Linked DNA regions of Diceros bicornis minor. The protein of the gene in region 2 purifies or fractionates together with the protein of the main gene of each other region. This does not show direct contact. Links are inferred from orthologs where the notes say so. Each region holds a gene or a part of one and is shown on either strand. Other genes may lie near its edges.

What was found. Proteins that work in one complex are often made in the same cells at the same time.
Region 1: the proteins of POLR3D (region 2) and POLR3H purify together in Homo sapiens (affinity purification with mass spectrometry; 6 studies listed by BioGRID and IntAct, counting the BioPlex papers as one, with this or other methods). This does not show direct contact. The link is inferred for Diceros bicornis minor from reciprocal best matches to the Homo sapiens genes POLR3D and POLR3H.

The regions. Positions count from the first base shown.
Region 1 is NC_080764.1:8,900,695-8,907,832, reverse strand, and holds the start of POLR3H (DNA-directed RNA polymerase III subunit RPC8), read right to left. Parts: upstream 2,907-7,138; 5' UTR 2,895-2,906; intron 2,761-2,894; 5' UTR 2,741-2,760; coding exon 2,630-2,740; intron 554-2,629; exon of another isoform or gene 293-553; coding exon of another isoform or gene 269-292; coding exon 172-268; intron 1-171. Other genes in the region: CSDC2 (cold shock domain-containing protein C2), read left to right, coding at 2,907-3,194.
Region 2 is NC_080750.1:71,627,082-71,634,252, forward strand, and holds the start of POLR3D (DNA-directed RNA polymerase III subunit RPC4), read right to left. Parts: upstream 3,086-7,171; 5' UTR 2,997-3,085; intron 2,774-2,996; 5' UTR 2,769-2,773; coding exon 2,604-2,768; intron 1,611-2,603; coding exon 1,567-1,610; intron 945-1,566; coding exon 793-944; intron 638-792; coding exon 513-637; intron 48-512; coding exon 1-47. UniProt on the Homo sapiens protein: DNA-dependent RNA polymerase catalyzes the transcription of DNA into RNA using the four ribonucleoside triphosphates as substrates.

The sequences.
Region 1 (7,138 bases), on a different chromosome or scaffold from region 2:
AGAGATGGGAAACCGAGGCCCAGAGAAGGGAGGATTCTGCCCATTATCACCCAGTCAATTCCTGGCAGAGTTAGGACTAGGCCTCAGGTCTCCCAACACCCAGACCAGGACTCTCACCACCGAAAACTGAGCCCCAAGAAACCCAATGCCCCAGGAGGAGAGGGCACCCACCTTTGGTGTGTGACGCGCCGTCCCCCGGGAACACGTAGGCGTCCTCCAGCTTGGTGATGTCGAACAGACAGATGCAGAGTCCCACGTTGTACACAACCTGTGTGCGTCCGTGTACGCACATACACAGTGACCCCGAGGCCCAGCTCCCAGGCGTCTCTCCTGAGACTGTCACCACCACATAGCAGGTCTGGCTATCCCCGTTCTACAGTGGGAAGTGAGCTGGGACACTGCCTGAGGTGACCACGGGGAAGAAACCCTGGAAGGATGCAGAGCTCTGGGAAGAGCAGGGCCTTTTCTGACAAGGCAGATCCAGCTCACAGTGCCAGCTCCACCACTTACTGTGTGACCTCCAAGGTCCTTCTCTGAGCCTCAGTTTCCTCATCTGCAAAAATGGACAAACCAGGCTGCAGGGTTGTTAAATAAAGAGGGAGAACGGATGTGAAGCCCCTAGCCCAGTACCTGGCTCACGTACTAGAAATAATAATCACCGATCAAGGATCACTACTGTTACTAGTACAGATCAGTAGTAGGGGAAGCCTGGTTAAACTACACTTTCCAACGTCCCCAAGTCCCTACTGGAGCCCACAGCCCAGTGAGCGTCAGAACCACAGCTGATCTCCATTCTGCTCACACAGATGTGGCCACAGGGACTGAGGCTGGAAGAGTGACACATGGCCAAGGCCCTGAGACTGGGCAGAGAAGAGCCCATGCCCCATCCCCACCCCACGGTGCTCTAAACAACTGTCCACTTGGTGTCTGCTTATCTGCCACCAGTGTCATCACCTCCCAATCAGAGACCTTGCAGGACCATTCAAGGATTAGCAAGAAGCTCAGGGAACTCGGAGTCCTGGCCAGACATCACAGCGATGAGGCACAGAGCCTGGCTGGACCATAGGCCTCTTCTGTGTGGCCTCCTCTCAGTGACTCAGTAACTCAAATACAGGAAGACTTGTCTGAAGAGGTCACTGAAGGACCTGTGCCCCAAAGGGACTGCATTCCCTTCCTGGACTCTTCACACCTTCTCTCTCCACAATGTTCACACTTCATCTCCCCACAGACCCCTCGCCTTCTACCTCACAAAGTTACCAGAAGCCATCCACTAAGGACTCCGTGAGTTCTCCCCACCAACAACTCCCCAGATCTGGACACCCTCCTTCTGTGACCTCAGCTTCTATGGAAGGGACCTGCCTCCTGTAGAAAGACAGCCAATCTTCCTCCTGCTGGCTCCTTCTCAGCCTATCACCTCCCACTGTTCTATGGATGAAGACCAATACTCCCATGAAGTCCTGCAGGCCCTGTGCAGCCTGGCTCCTGCCACCCTTCCAGCCTGCCCTCCCCTCTCTCCCTCTGCCCAGGGCACACCAGCCTCCACCATGCTGTGATGGTGTAATAGTTCCTCCTGCCACAGGGCCTTTGCACATGCTGTTTCCTCTGCTTGCACAGCTCTTCTCTCTGCCCAGCCTCCTCCCACCCCCCAAAAATGAATTCCCTAGTTAGTTTTTCCATCAGATCTCAGCTCAAGCACAAGTGCCACCTCCCTAACAAAGCCACTTGTCTCCCTCATCGTAGGTGAAGTTTCTTCGTTCCACAGGCTTGTGGATACCTATCTTTTGCAGCATTTACCTCTACTTGTCATCATGCGCTCAACTGTGGGACCCTCTCATTCACATCTGCTCTCCCACCACACTACAGGGCAGAATCTTGTCTGTTTCATTCACTCGATCAACAGACAATCATGGAACATCTACTCTGTGCCAGGCTCTGCCTAAATATGGGGAATACTGTGGGGAAAGGTCTCTACCCTCATGCAGAGGAAAGAGAAAAACAATAACCAAATAAACAAATGCAGAGGAAAGAGAAAAACAATAACCAAATCAACAAATAAGAACATAGAGTGTATAAGTGCAAAGAAGGAAAGAGTAACATGGCACAGAATAACTGAGGAGGGAGGCTGACGACAGAAAAGGCAGTGGCAAGGCCTCTGACGAGCTGGCAGTAGGGTGTGCAGGCCTGGCACATAGAGGGTGCACAAATATTTTTTTGCAGGAATGAATGGATAAATCTCCTATTGGTTAACTCTAAACTACCCTCCATCTTCACAAAAACAAGGCATGGTTGGACAGCAATTTTTATTTCCATTTTACAAATGGAAACTGAGGCCCAGAGGGGGTAAATGACTTGCCTAAGATTGCAAAGTAATCTCTAAGTGTGGAATCTAGCACCTCTCAGTTACAACGGCCTTTTTCAAACCCAATTTCTCTTTTGATTCCCTCCAACACCCTTGTGGGTAAGGATTACCCCCATCCCACGCACGGGTGAGGAAACCGTGTTCTGAGACGTTAAGCTACTTGCTCAAGGCCAAGGCTTGACATGACCAAGGCCAGGCCTGAAGCGGGCAGGTGGGCAGCGTTGGGCCCTCCCGTGCCAGGGCCTGCCCGCTACCCCGTGGGCCCAGTACCTTGTTGGCCAACTTCTTGTTCAGCTCCTCGGCAATGGAGTCGTTGAGCTTCCTCTCAAACTGCCACGGGGGGATCCGCACGGTGTCCACCATCTCCACCAGGACGAACATCGCGGCCTGCGCTGGGCGCTCTGGGAACGGGAGGGTCAGTCACGCACCGGGGCCTGGGGCGGTGAGGATCCCCGAGCCCCCTCCGTCCCGTCCCAATCGCTGAGGCCCCCCACCCCAGACCGGTAGCGCAGCTGCACGGTAGAGCGTGGAATACCCCGGGCGCAGCATGCTCCGCTACTGCAAAGAGAGGAAACTGAGGCTCACGGGAGGTCCCGTCGGTCCAGCGCGGGGACGCGCGGCCCCGCCCCTGCCCGCCACGCGCCACAGGGCCACTCGCCACGCGCCGCCACCACGCACCGCGCACCCACACGCAGCCGGCAGCGGCGAGACTTTCCCCGAGATTACGAATCCCGTCGCTTCCGGAGAACCGACCAATAAGAAACCTCTGCCCGCCCCCTCGCGCGGGGCGGGGCTGCCTACTGGCTCTTGGCGGAGCGTGGTGGGCGGGGCCTGGGTGGGGCGGGTCTTCCCCTTTCCGCCCTCGCGGAGCGGTCAACCCACAGACAACACTTTCTGGTTGCTAGGCGACCTCGGGGCAATCCGGTCATCTCTCGTCTGGCCTGTGACATTCTCTTGTTGCTGGTCCAGGCCGTCCCGTGCGCCGCAGCCAGAGTGATCCTTTGAAAACGCAAACACAATCGGCTTAGACCTTTCAGTACTCTGGAGACGGGCAGAATTGACTGGAAAGGGGCAGGCGGGGCCTTTCTGCGGTGATAGAAATATTTTGTATTTTCTTACGCAGTTGTATACAATTTTGAAACCTCATTGAATTCAACACTTAAGATCTTCACATTTAATCGTAGGCAGATTACATCTCAATTGAAAAGTGATAATAAATTGGCACAAAACACAACCTCGGTGGCTTCTCACTGAACTAATAATAAAGTCCAAAACCTTTGTGGTAGCTCACAAGGCCCTGCAGGATCTGCCCTGCCGCTACCCAGGCCTCCAGCCCCATCTTGTTCTCTCTCCCCCATGTTCCAGTACCATTCATCTTCATATGATAGCTAACATGGGCTGAGAGAATTCAATAACTTGTCCAAAATCACGGGCTGCTAAGTGATAGAAGTGGGCCCTGTCTAAACCTCAACACCACACTGCCTCTAGGTAGTGTGTTTTAACCAAATAAAAATTTGAAAACTTAAAAAGAGGTTGGGGGGGGCGGCCCGGTGGCGCAAGCGGTTAAATGCGTGCGCTCAGATGCGGCAGCCCGTGGTTCGCCGGCTCAGACCCCCAGCTCGCAGCAACGCACCACTTGGCAAGCCATGCTGTGGCAGCAAGCCATGCTGTGGCAGCATCCTGTATAAAGTGTTGGAAGATGGGCACGGATGTTAGCCCAGGGCCAGTCTTCCTCAGCAAAAAAAAGGAGGATTGGCAGATGTTAGCACAGGGCAGATCTTCCTCACAAAAAAAAAAAAAAAAAAAAAAGAGAGGTTTGCGTAGATGACAGAGACACTCAGAAATGCATAGTGCTTTAATTTGCTGATCTCTTTACAGAGATCTCTCCATGAGACTGGCTGTAGTAATACTGAATTTGGCCTTCCCTGCATCTATATTTTTATTTATACGTTTATCTCTCTCTCCTAGGATTTCAGCTACTTGATGACAAGAGAAAGTGCTACTTCAGCTTTTTATTCCCACAATCCCCTAACATCATTCTTAGGAGGCATTTGGTAAAAGTGTTTAGGAGATTATATAAATTATTTCTCTCAAATATCTCTCAAATCCTCCCTCTTCATTTCATTCCCGCTGCTACTGCCCTGGTTGGGGCTTCTTCATTGCTCCTCTGAAGTTTATCCACACACCCCAGCTCCTGGTCTCAGTCTCTCCTGCAAGCAACCTCCACACTGTCACAGAAAGGTCTAGACTGAACGCAGCCTTCCTCTCCAGCCTCACTTTCCTTCTGTCCTCCAGACACTGGGAGCCTCCAGCCCTGAGTGTGTGATACCAAACTGCTTAATCTCAAATTTGTGTGCCCAGTGCGCAGTAAGCCGATCACTGAGGCGTTTGTGCTTAGAGATGGAGAAAGGTTTATTCGAATTGGCCAAAATGAGAAGACAGGAGTATAGAGTCTCTCAAATACGCCTTAACAAGAGAAGAAAGCAGGGGGCTGGGGAGGAGGAGTTTCAGAGAAACAAAAGGGTAATCCGTGTTTCTTTCACTTCAGATAAGCCCCTGGGCAATCTGACTTCTGGGCGTCAACGGCAGCTGGGGGGCTGGTTATCTGGTGATCTTTGAACCATTCTCTTTCTTCTGTAAAAGAAGCTCAAAAACCCTTGTGACCCTTGAATTACCCCTCAGGTTAAACAAGAAGACAGCAAATTGACAATATTAACTTCTTTTCATCTGTGTCTGTGTTGGGAACAAGGTCAAAAGGTAATCATGTTCTTTTTCATGTGAGTGTGAGGAAGATCAGCCCTGAGCTAACATCCGATGCCAAGCCTCCTCTTTTTGCCGAAGAAGATCGGCCCTGGGCTAACATCCGTGCCCATCTTCCTCTACCTTATACAGGATGCCGCCACAGCATGGCTTGATGAGCGGTGGGTCAGTGCGCACCCGGGATCCGAACCCGCGAACCCTCGGGCCACTGAAGCGGAGCATGCACACTTAACCACTACGCCACTGGGCCGGCCCTGGTAATCACGTTCTTTTTTTTTTAATGATTTTTTTTTGTTTATTTATTTCCCCAAAGCCCCAGTAGATAGTCGTATGTCATAGTTGCACATCCTTCTAGTTGCTGCATGTGGGATGCAGCCTCAGCATGGCCGGAGAAGCGGTGCGTCGGTGCGCGCCCGGGATCCGAACCCGGGCCGCCAGCAGCAGAGCGTGCGCACTTAACCGCTAAGCCACGGGTCCGGCCCATGGTAATCACGTTCTTATTGAATATTTACAGTAACCCCACAGGTACCAAGCTTCAGATAGAGCAAGCCCTTTTATAGCCCTGCCTTGAACACTTTTTTACCTGGAAAACTCCTACTCATCCATCAGAACCCAAATTCAATCATTCATTTTCACATTCTTTCATTCATTCATTCAACATACCATGTGCCCAGCTGTTAGAGATTCAATGGGGAAGAAGAACTGGTCCCGGCCCAGCTTCAGCTCAGAGGGGTTGGGGAGAGGACAGAGAGAGAGAGAGAATTTGACACTCTCAGGGAATCAAAAGTATTTTAGCTGATTTATAGGGGAGATGTGAATTGGTGAAACTGGAGACCTAAGCAGGATCCAGATCCCAAGGGCCTTTTTTTCTTTTTAATTTTTTTTTTCCCCAAAGCCCCAGTAGATAGTTGTACGTCACAGTTGCACATCCTTCTAGTTGCTGTATGTGGGACGCGGCCTCAGCATGGCCGGAGAAGCGGTGCGTTGGTGCACACCTGGGATCCGAACCCGGGCTGCCAGTATGGAAGCGCATGAACTTAACCGCTAAGCCGTGAGGCCAGCCCTAAGGGCCTTATCATTATAATATTCATTAACTTTTAATGCTCACAACAGCTATATAAGGTGGGGGCTATTATTATCATTAGCTAATTTGTCTCATTATCATTTATCATTCTCATTTATCTCATTATCTCATTTCACCTCATTTAAAGCAAAGAGAGGTTAAGTAGGTCATTCAAGGTCACACAGCTAATTAGTGGCAGAGCTGGGATTCAGGCTCCAGAGCCCATGATCCTCCTAAACACTGGGTCGTGCCACAACATTAGCCCGAGGTCAGCAAAGGGAAGCCTTCCAAGGTTAGAACAGGGAAATGACACAGTGACACATCAGCTGGATGGACAGTGGACGGGAAGGGGCTGGGATGAAGACAAGAAGACCAAGAAGGACGTTATTGGGTGGGTCCTGTAAGAGTAGGCCTGAGCGAGCCTACTCTTGGTAGCCTACTCTCCTGGTAGGCGTGGAGAGCAAAGTTGGGCAGAGTCCAGAGGTCTCCAGGGGATGGTCTCAGTGACAGGGTGGATAACCTGGGGATGGAAGTGGAAGGAGCCAGCGCTGAGAGCTGTAGCCACTGGCTGGGTGGTGGGCCTTTCACTGAGATGGGAAACTGGAGGAGGGCCAGGCTGGGGGAGGGGGCCAGCATCGCAGAGTTCAGTGTTTGGGGTTCCCAGGCTTCTTTTACAGTATTCGGCTCACACGATTGCGACAGGGAGTTGTTGGCATGTTCGGTTTCCTCATTAGTAAAAACAGGGACCAGCCTTCTTTATTAACTGTCTGCATCATTCCCTGGAAGTGAGGTGGCTTACAAAAACACACAAAGACTTAGTCTGCAAGCTCCTCGACAGCACAGGACTTCTCTGTCATGTCCCTCCACATCGTCTTGGCCTAGCCTTGTGCCTGGCAGATGGTCAGGGCTTGTAAATATGTGTTATTTGAATGAACAAAAGGATAGCAAAATACTTG
Region 2 (7,171 bases):
ACAGGCATGTTTCGAGTATCATTCCTCAGCCCAGGGTCATCAATGAACTGCCAAAGAAGAGTCAAGGGGTCACACAGCCTGGCCAGCATGCACATGTACCTGGATTGCAGTCCACCTTAGCCCTTTTTTTGTGCGTGAGGAAGATCAGCCCTGAGCTGACATCTAATGCCAATCCTCCTCTTTTTGCCGAGGAAGATTGGCCCTGGGCTAACATCCGTGCCCATCTTCCTCTACTTTATATGTGACGCTGCCACAGCATGGCTTGACAAGCGGTGCATCGGTGTGCACCTGGGATCCGAACCTGTGAACCCTAGGGCTGCCAAAGCAAAGCGCACGCACTTAACTGCTGCACACCGGGCTGGCCCGCATCTTAGCCCTTTCTAACCGAAGCTTCCTGCTGCTTACCAGGCTTCCAGGACATCAGAGAGCTCTTCCTCCTGCGACCCTGGCTCCCTGAAGCCCTTTTTCACAGCCACAAAGAAGCCCCCTCCCCCCAGCCTGCTGGTACCTACATCATCCTTCTCCAGCATGCGCAAGATCTGTTTTGTTTCTTCATCCGTCTCCCTCTTCTCTTTTTTGATGTTGATGATATGAGAGGGCCCCATGTCCGACACATCCACTGTCTTATCCCAGTTCCCTGTGGGAGATCACCCAGTTCACCAGGGGTAAGGAAGAGGCCAACAGCAAGGAAAACTAAACTGGGAGCAGGGGAATTCTGCCCTTGCCCTTTTCTTGGACAGTCTGAACTGAAATCCACCATTCCTTCCTCCCAGAGCCCTGGCAGCTTTGTACCCTTTTTCTTCATCATTTCAGCTGGGCCCTGCTCAAAGATAGAGTGGGACTGGATCACTTCTGGGCGCCCCCGGCCCCGGCCATGCCCCTCTCGCTGTCGGTCTCTCTCTCTTTCACGCTTCTCCTTCTTGATGGTTACTTCTTCCTTGGGCCTGGAAAAGAGAATGGATTAAGAAAAACCACTCAGTTACCCTGCCTCAGAGAAGTGGTTTTACTCTCCCACACCACTGCACTTGAGTGGAGAGTTTATGCCCCAATAACTACATCATGAGAAGCAGAATCCAATCCTAAATCTAGCACCTGTTTCACTTCCTTGATGGGGCAGATCTCTTTCAGTTTGCTTTACTTTACCTTCTTGTTTGAGAATACATATTAGAACTATAACTCAAAAGTTGAATTATAGAGACTGTCCCCAAATGCGGATTTTTTGGTATTGACTGAAAGCAGGAAGGCTGTGATGCAAAAGAACTTAAGGGAAAACATGATACACCTTTGTCTAAACTAGTGGTTCTCAACTCTGGCTGTAAAAGATATTCACTTTGTCTCATTGCAACTAAGTTAAATCACAATTTATAGGGATGGACTCCCAGGCATCAGTATTTTTGTAAAGCTTGCACATTAGAATTATCTGGTAGCCTAGGTTGAAAATCACTAGTGATAAGAACTAAATACACAAATTTAAATTTCTGAGGCACATACCTAGTTATTTCCCCAAAGGCCCAAATTCAGAGCAAGTAAATAAAGGGTGAGTATTCAGAAGACCTGGCTACTTACTCCTCCTTGATCTTCCGACTGATGATATTCGGGGTGAAGGTTTTCTGAAAGTAAAATACAGGAATCACTGATTTGGTAAGTTCTGATTTCAAAGTATAGAGGAAAAGAAAAACTCCCAAAGGCATCTTCTATGGACCAAGACCACCATGGCTCTCTTCTGCACATTCCACACCGTTGCCAAAGATTTACAGAGATAGACATGTGCTTGAAAAGGAGGAACGTCATGTCATGGTGGCAATGGAGTTACACACAGAAGCAAGGGGCACCAAAACCCATTTAAACTAACAGCCTCAGCTTCTGTCCTCTGAAAGGAGAGCCCTCAGGACTTCTAAAAGCAAAGTAACTTATCTAGTCTCACCTCCTGTTTTCAAACTGCTATAGAGACCAGTCAGTATCATAGGCAAAGATCTCTAGCAGCAAGGCTCAAGTAGGGAAGACAGATCTGCCAGCACCCGCAGACAGGGTTAGACTGCCACCAGAATTCCCCAAGGCAGAGTTAAGCCTTTCAAAACTGGCTGAGCTACACTTCTGTCATTCCCTACCCCCTTTCAGGGCCACCCTTTACATCTACAGTCGTCAACATAACAGGAGAAGACACAGAGCCTCTAATGCCACGCCTAGGAATCACCATACTCTAGGACAGCGGTTGGCACACTGGGATCCATAGCGAATTCAGAACTCTCTAAATCTGCAGGCAAAATGTATTATGCCACCGAGGCTTACATAGGTTTTAATGGTGTCCAAAACACACACAAAAAGTAAATAAAGACTGCTCATGTTGCTTTTAAACTAATTAGGATTCTCTGCCCTTCAGCCATCTCCGAGAACCATGTCAACATCTTGTACCCAGTATCTAAACTTAAAGGTAGGTCAGGCTCCCAGAATTTGTAGGCGGCATCTGGCGACGAGATTCGTGGGGCCCAACACCACGCCTGGCACGCGGTAGGCCCTCCATGAAAGTCCATGAACATTATTTGGACCCCGGGGGCCTGGAACTCAAGGTAGTCGGGTTTCTTTTGAAAGGTGCCGTCGGGTACCTTTTTGACTCCCCCGAGGGTGAGGTCCCTGGAGCGGATGGAGGGAAGGCGGCCCGGGCTGAGGGGAGGCGCCGGCCGCCGCCCGATAAGCCCCCGGGCCCCCGAGAGGAGGGGTCGCGGCCCTCCCGGAGCGCTGGGCTCGCCCGCGGCGTTTCCTTCTGACATCTTGCCTGGAAGAGAGGGGGGAAAGGGGCCATGGAGTCACTCGAGGGGGCGGCCACGCGGACCCAGGGCGGAACCGCACCCACATCGCCTCCCGCCCCCCGTCAGTGCGTCCCTCCCGCAGCGTCCCTGCTCCTCCCCTCCCACGTGGCGAGACTCCTCGGACCTCCCCGGCCAGAGCGCTTGGCTCGCTCTCCCCAGGCCCCCGGCCAGAAAGCAGCAGGGACGCACCCGGGCTGCGGTCCGCACCACGCGCGCCCAGACTTCACCTCCAACGCGGCCCGCAGCCGGACCTCGGCCCCGGCGCCAGGCGGAAGTCTGCGTGGCAGGGTCCGAGCGCCGCCATCTTGCCGCCGGGCGGAAGTGAGGTCGGGGGGCGGGGCCGGGCCACAGTATTTATCCGGCGGCGCCGCGCGCCCCTCTGCCTTCTCTTCCCGGTTCTTCCCGGAGTCGGGAAAAGCTGGGTTGAGAGGGCGAAAAAAGAAGCGGGCGCTGTCTAGGTTCCGCCACGGTGCAGACCCCGGAGGGCTTGGCCCGGGCCCGGGGCCGGGGATGGAGGCGACCAGCTCAGAGTCTAGCGGCGTTTGCCCCCACCCCTCCGACGCAATGCGGGGATTCTCTGCGGCGGAGCCGCAGATCAGTGGGGTCGCGGCTCCGCGTGGGGCGAGAAGTGGGGGCGGAGAGCAAGACCCGACTCAGAGTAGGGGGAACTGGGCCGGGCCGAGCCGCGGCTGCGGGCTCGATGGTGACCTTGGAGTGGTCACCGCAGCTCTGGGCGGCGGCTTCGCCCTCGCTGGGGGTCTCTTCCCTGGGCCCTTGGGGGCGTCCTGCGGTCGGCTGTGGGCGCAGCGTCGGGTGCCCAGTGATACCCGCCCTGGGCTCATGACTGCAGGCCTTGGTGCGCTCTTGGTCCAAGCTTGGAACCAGAAAAACGAAGTTTGCTTTACTGCGAGAGGAATTTAAAGAACTTTTATCGTGACTCTGACATTTGTAATTTAACATAAAGAATGTTCTTTACTGTTAGTCTCCCCACCCTCCAAGCCATGTGAAAACCACGTTAACAACATGAGGGAAAGTTCGAGGGAAGGAAAACATTTCCGCTACAATTCCATCCACATAGAATACTACTGTTAAAACTTGTGTGATATACTGCAGTCCCCTTCACAGAGCTATCATATTGTACCGCAATTTTGAATTCCGTCCTTTCAAATAACATTTCTTTGTCGCTGCATCAAACGAGTGCGTAGTGCTCGAGTGGCTACGTCATGACACTTAGATTGTTTCTTTCCAGTTGTAGTGAACATCTGGTGCATTTAACGTTTTTTCTTCTTTTGGGTTATATTTCTAGGACAGATTTCCAGATTTGTGATAACTGGACAAAAGAAGACATACTTTTTTTTTAAGTAAATTTTTTATTTTGATATTATTATGGATACACACACAGTTGGGAGAAATAATGCAGAGATCCCAAATACCCTTTACTCAGTTTCTCCCAATAGTAACATATTGCAAAACTCTAGTGCAATATCACAGCCAGAATATTAACATTGATACAGTCAAAAAGCAAGACATTTCCATCACTACAAGGATCCCTCTAGATGACCTTTTACAGCCACACCTCCCTCTCACTCACCCCTGGCAACCACTAATCTGTTCTTCATTTTTATACTTTCCTATTTCAAAAGTGGAAATCATTCAAAAGTGGAATCATACAGTATACGACTTCTTGGGATTGCTTTTTTCAGTCAGCATAATTCCCTGGAGATGATCCAAGTTGTTGCGTGTATCCATAGTTTGTTCCTTTTATTGCTGAATATCCGTGGTTTGTTTATCAGTTCACCCTTGAAGGACGTCTGGGTTGTTTTCAGTTTGGGGCTGTTACTAATGAAGCCGCTATAAACATACATATACAGGTTTTTGTGTAAACATAAATTTTCATTTCTCTGGAATAAATGCCCGCAAGTGCAATTGTTGGGTCAAATGGTGGTTGTATGCTTAGTTTTATAAGAAACTGCCAAACTGTTTTCCACAGTAGCTGTACTGTTCTGAACATGCACTTTTATGGTTCTTCATCCATATTGCTGAGTTGCTTTCAGAAAGAGATGTGCTAACATGCATCAACACTAATAGATATGAATGGTTGTAGTAGATAAGAAGATATATGTGTGTGTATAATATTTTGCCACTTCCTTCTGGGTACTGGCTCTTAAAATTTTAAACGTTTTTGCCAATTTAATAATATATTAATATTTTGTTATGTTGGTTTCTGATCAGACTTTTTTCAACTTCTTTTCTCCATATTGGTTTTATGATAACCAAACCTAACCAAAGAAAAATCCTTCCTGTCCCCTATAGAGCTACACAGAGCAGCCCTTGGATCAAAGATGAAATTGCTTTGATTTCATTCTCTGGGCTTTGAAGTCCACCAGCCTTTTAGCAGCTCCTAGGTTTTCGCTTTGTTTTTTTTTTTTTTTACAAGATACTTATCCATTACAGAAAACCTGGAAAATTTTAAAAATCACCCAGAAGAAAATAAAATCATCTGTTATTATCCCATCAACTGTTGCATATACTTGAAGTTGTTTTTCTATGCATGTAGATTTTTGAAAATTAACGTATTTTACATATGGTTATATAATCTTGTTTTCTCTTAACACTATACTGTAAACATTTTTCTGAGTTATCAAGTATGCTTCTCAATTATGACTGTTAATGGCTATACAGTACTCCACATTGTTGTCTTGCACCATAATTTATTTAACCAGTTTCCTTCCCTCAATGCTTATTGGATTTCCACAGCATTTTTTACCCCAAAAGGACAAGAGAAGAGAAGACTTAAATGAAGTCTTCCACCTTTAACATTTTGGGGCTTACTTCCTAACGATTATTATAATTTCCCTTTAAGAGTATTCTCCAGCTTTGCCTCTAACTAGGCTGATATACTTTCAGCACCTTTCTGCTTTCTTTCTTTCTTTGCTCCTGTACCTCCCACTTCATTTTCTCCCGAAGAGTGGTCATTCTTTTATCTAGCCTCAAAAGAAACTTGTAAATCATTACTAGCTGAACTCCATGTAATCACATCTGTGATTCTAGCAGATCTTAATTTGTTATTAATAACGTTTTATTGCATTTTATTTTTACATATTTCATAGTAAAGACAATAGTTTCTTTATTTTCTGATAACATAATGAAACTAATAATCAAACTCTTAAGAACAAATATAGTTTTTGGGTCTAAATGCAGTTTGCAGAAGGTATAAACAGATTCTGTCAAAAGCCTGTTCCTGTGAATTCTTAATGGGCATTGGAAATACTAAATGAATAAGGAACCGTTTTGTAATATGTATCAGTAGAATAAATGGAATGTGTTATATGAGAATGCTACCTAAGTTCAAGCTATTACATGTTCTCTACGAGTAATTTGTCCTAATTTTTTTTGCATTGCTTTGCAGATCATTTGTTTGCTGGTTCCTCTTCATCTCCTTGACCTCTGAACATTGCAGAGCTCTGGGATTCAGTCTTCAGAACTCTTCCCTTTTTCCAGTTTCTTTGTTTCAAACCATGTGCTGTATGCTGATGACGACTCAATGCTTATCTCAGTCTGGACCTCTCTGAACTCCAGATGTGTACCTCTGCCTATCCCACACTTCCACTTGGATGTCTGCTAGGCGTCTCAAAGCTAGGTCTACACCTAAACTTTTGATCTTCCTCCTCAAACTACTCCAAAGTATTCCCCATCTCAGTAAACAGCAACGCCATCTCTCTAGGTGCTCAGGTCAAAATTTTGCAGCTGTTCTTGGCTCCTCTCTTTTTCTCATGGGATACATCTAATATGTCAGCTCTTCCAGATGTATCCAGACTCTCACCACTTCTCACCACCACTCTCACTCACATCCCACCTTGGTCCAGGCCACCATCATTTTTTGCTGTGAATATTATAATACCCTCCTAACTGGCCTGCCTGCTTCCACCTGGGCCCGCTCAGTCTAGTCTCAACATAGCATAATTAACATATTTCACATCAGGTCATGTCTCTGCTTTAAACTTCCCAGGGGCTTCTCATTTCAGAGTAAAAGCCAGAGGCTTCAGACTGGCCTACACAGACCTGCATAATCTGTCCCTCCACTCACTGACTCTCCGTCCTCGACTCCTACCATGTTCCCTTCACTCACTCTGCTCCAGCTGCACGGGTCCCCTTGCTGTTTCTGGAACAATCTGGCATGCTCCTGCTTGAGGGCCTCTGCACTTGCTACCTGGAATACTCTTCCTCCACGTAATTTTCATGGCTCTCTCCCTCCCTTCAGTCAACTTTTCTATCCTTTGAGTTGTATTTACATATGTCTTCTCCATAGGTTCTTCTGTATGCAGCTCTCTTAATAGAGTAAGGGTGGCAAATACTGAGTGAGT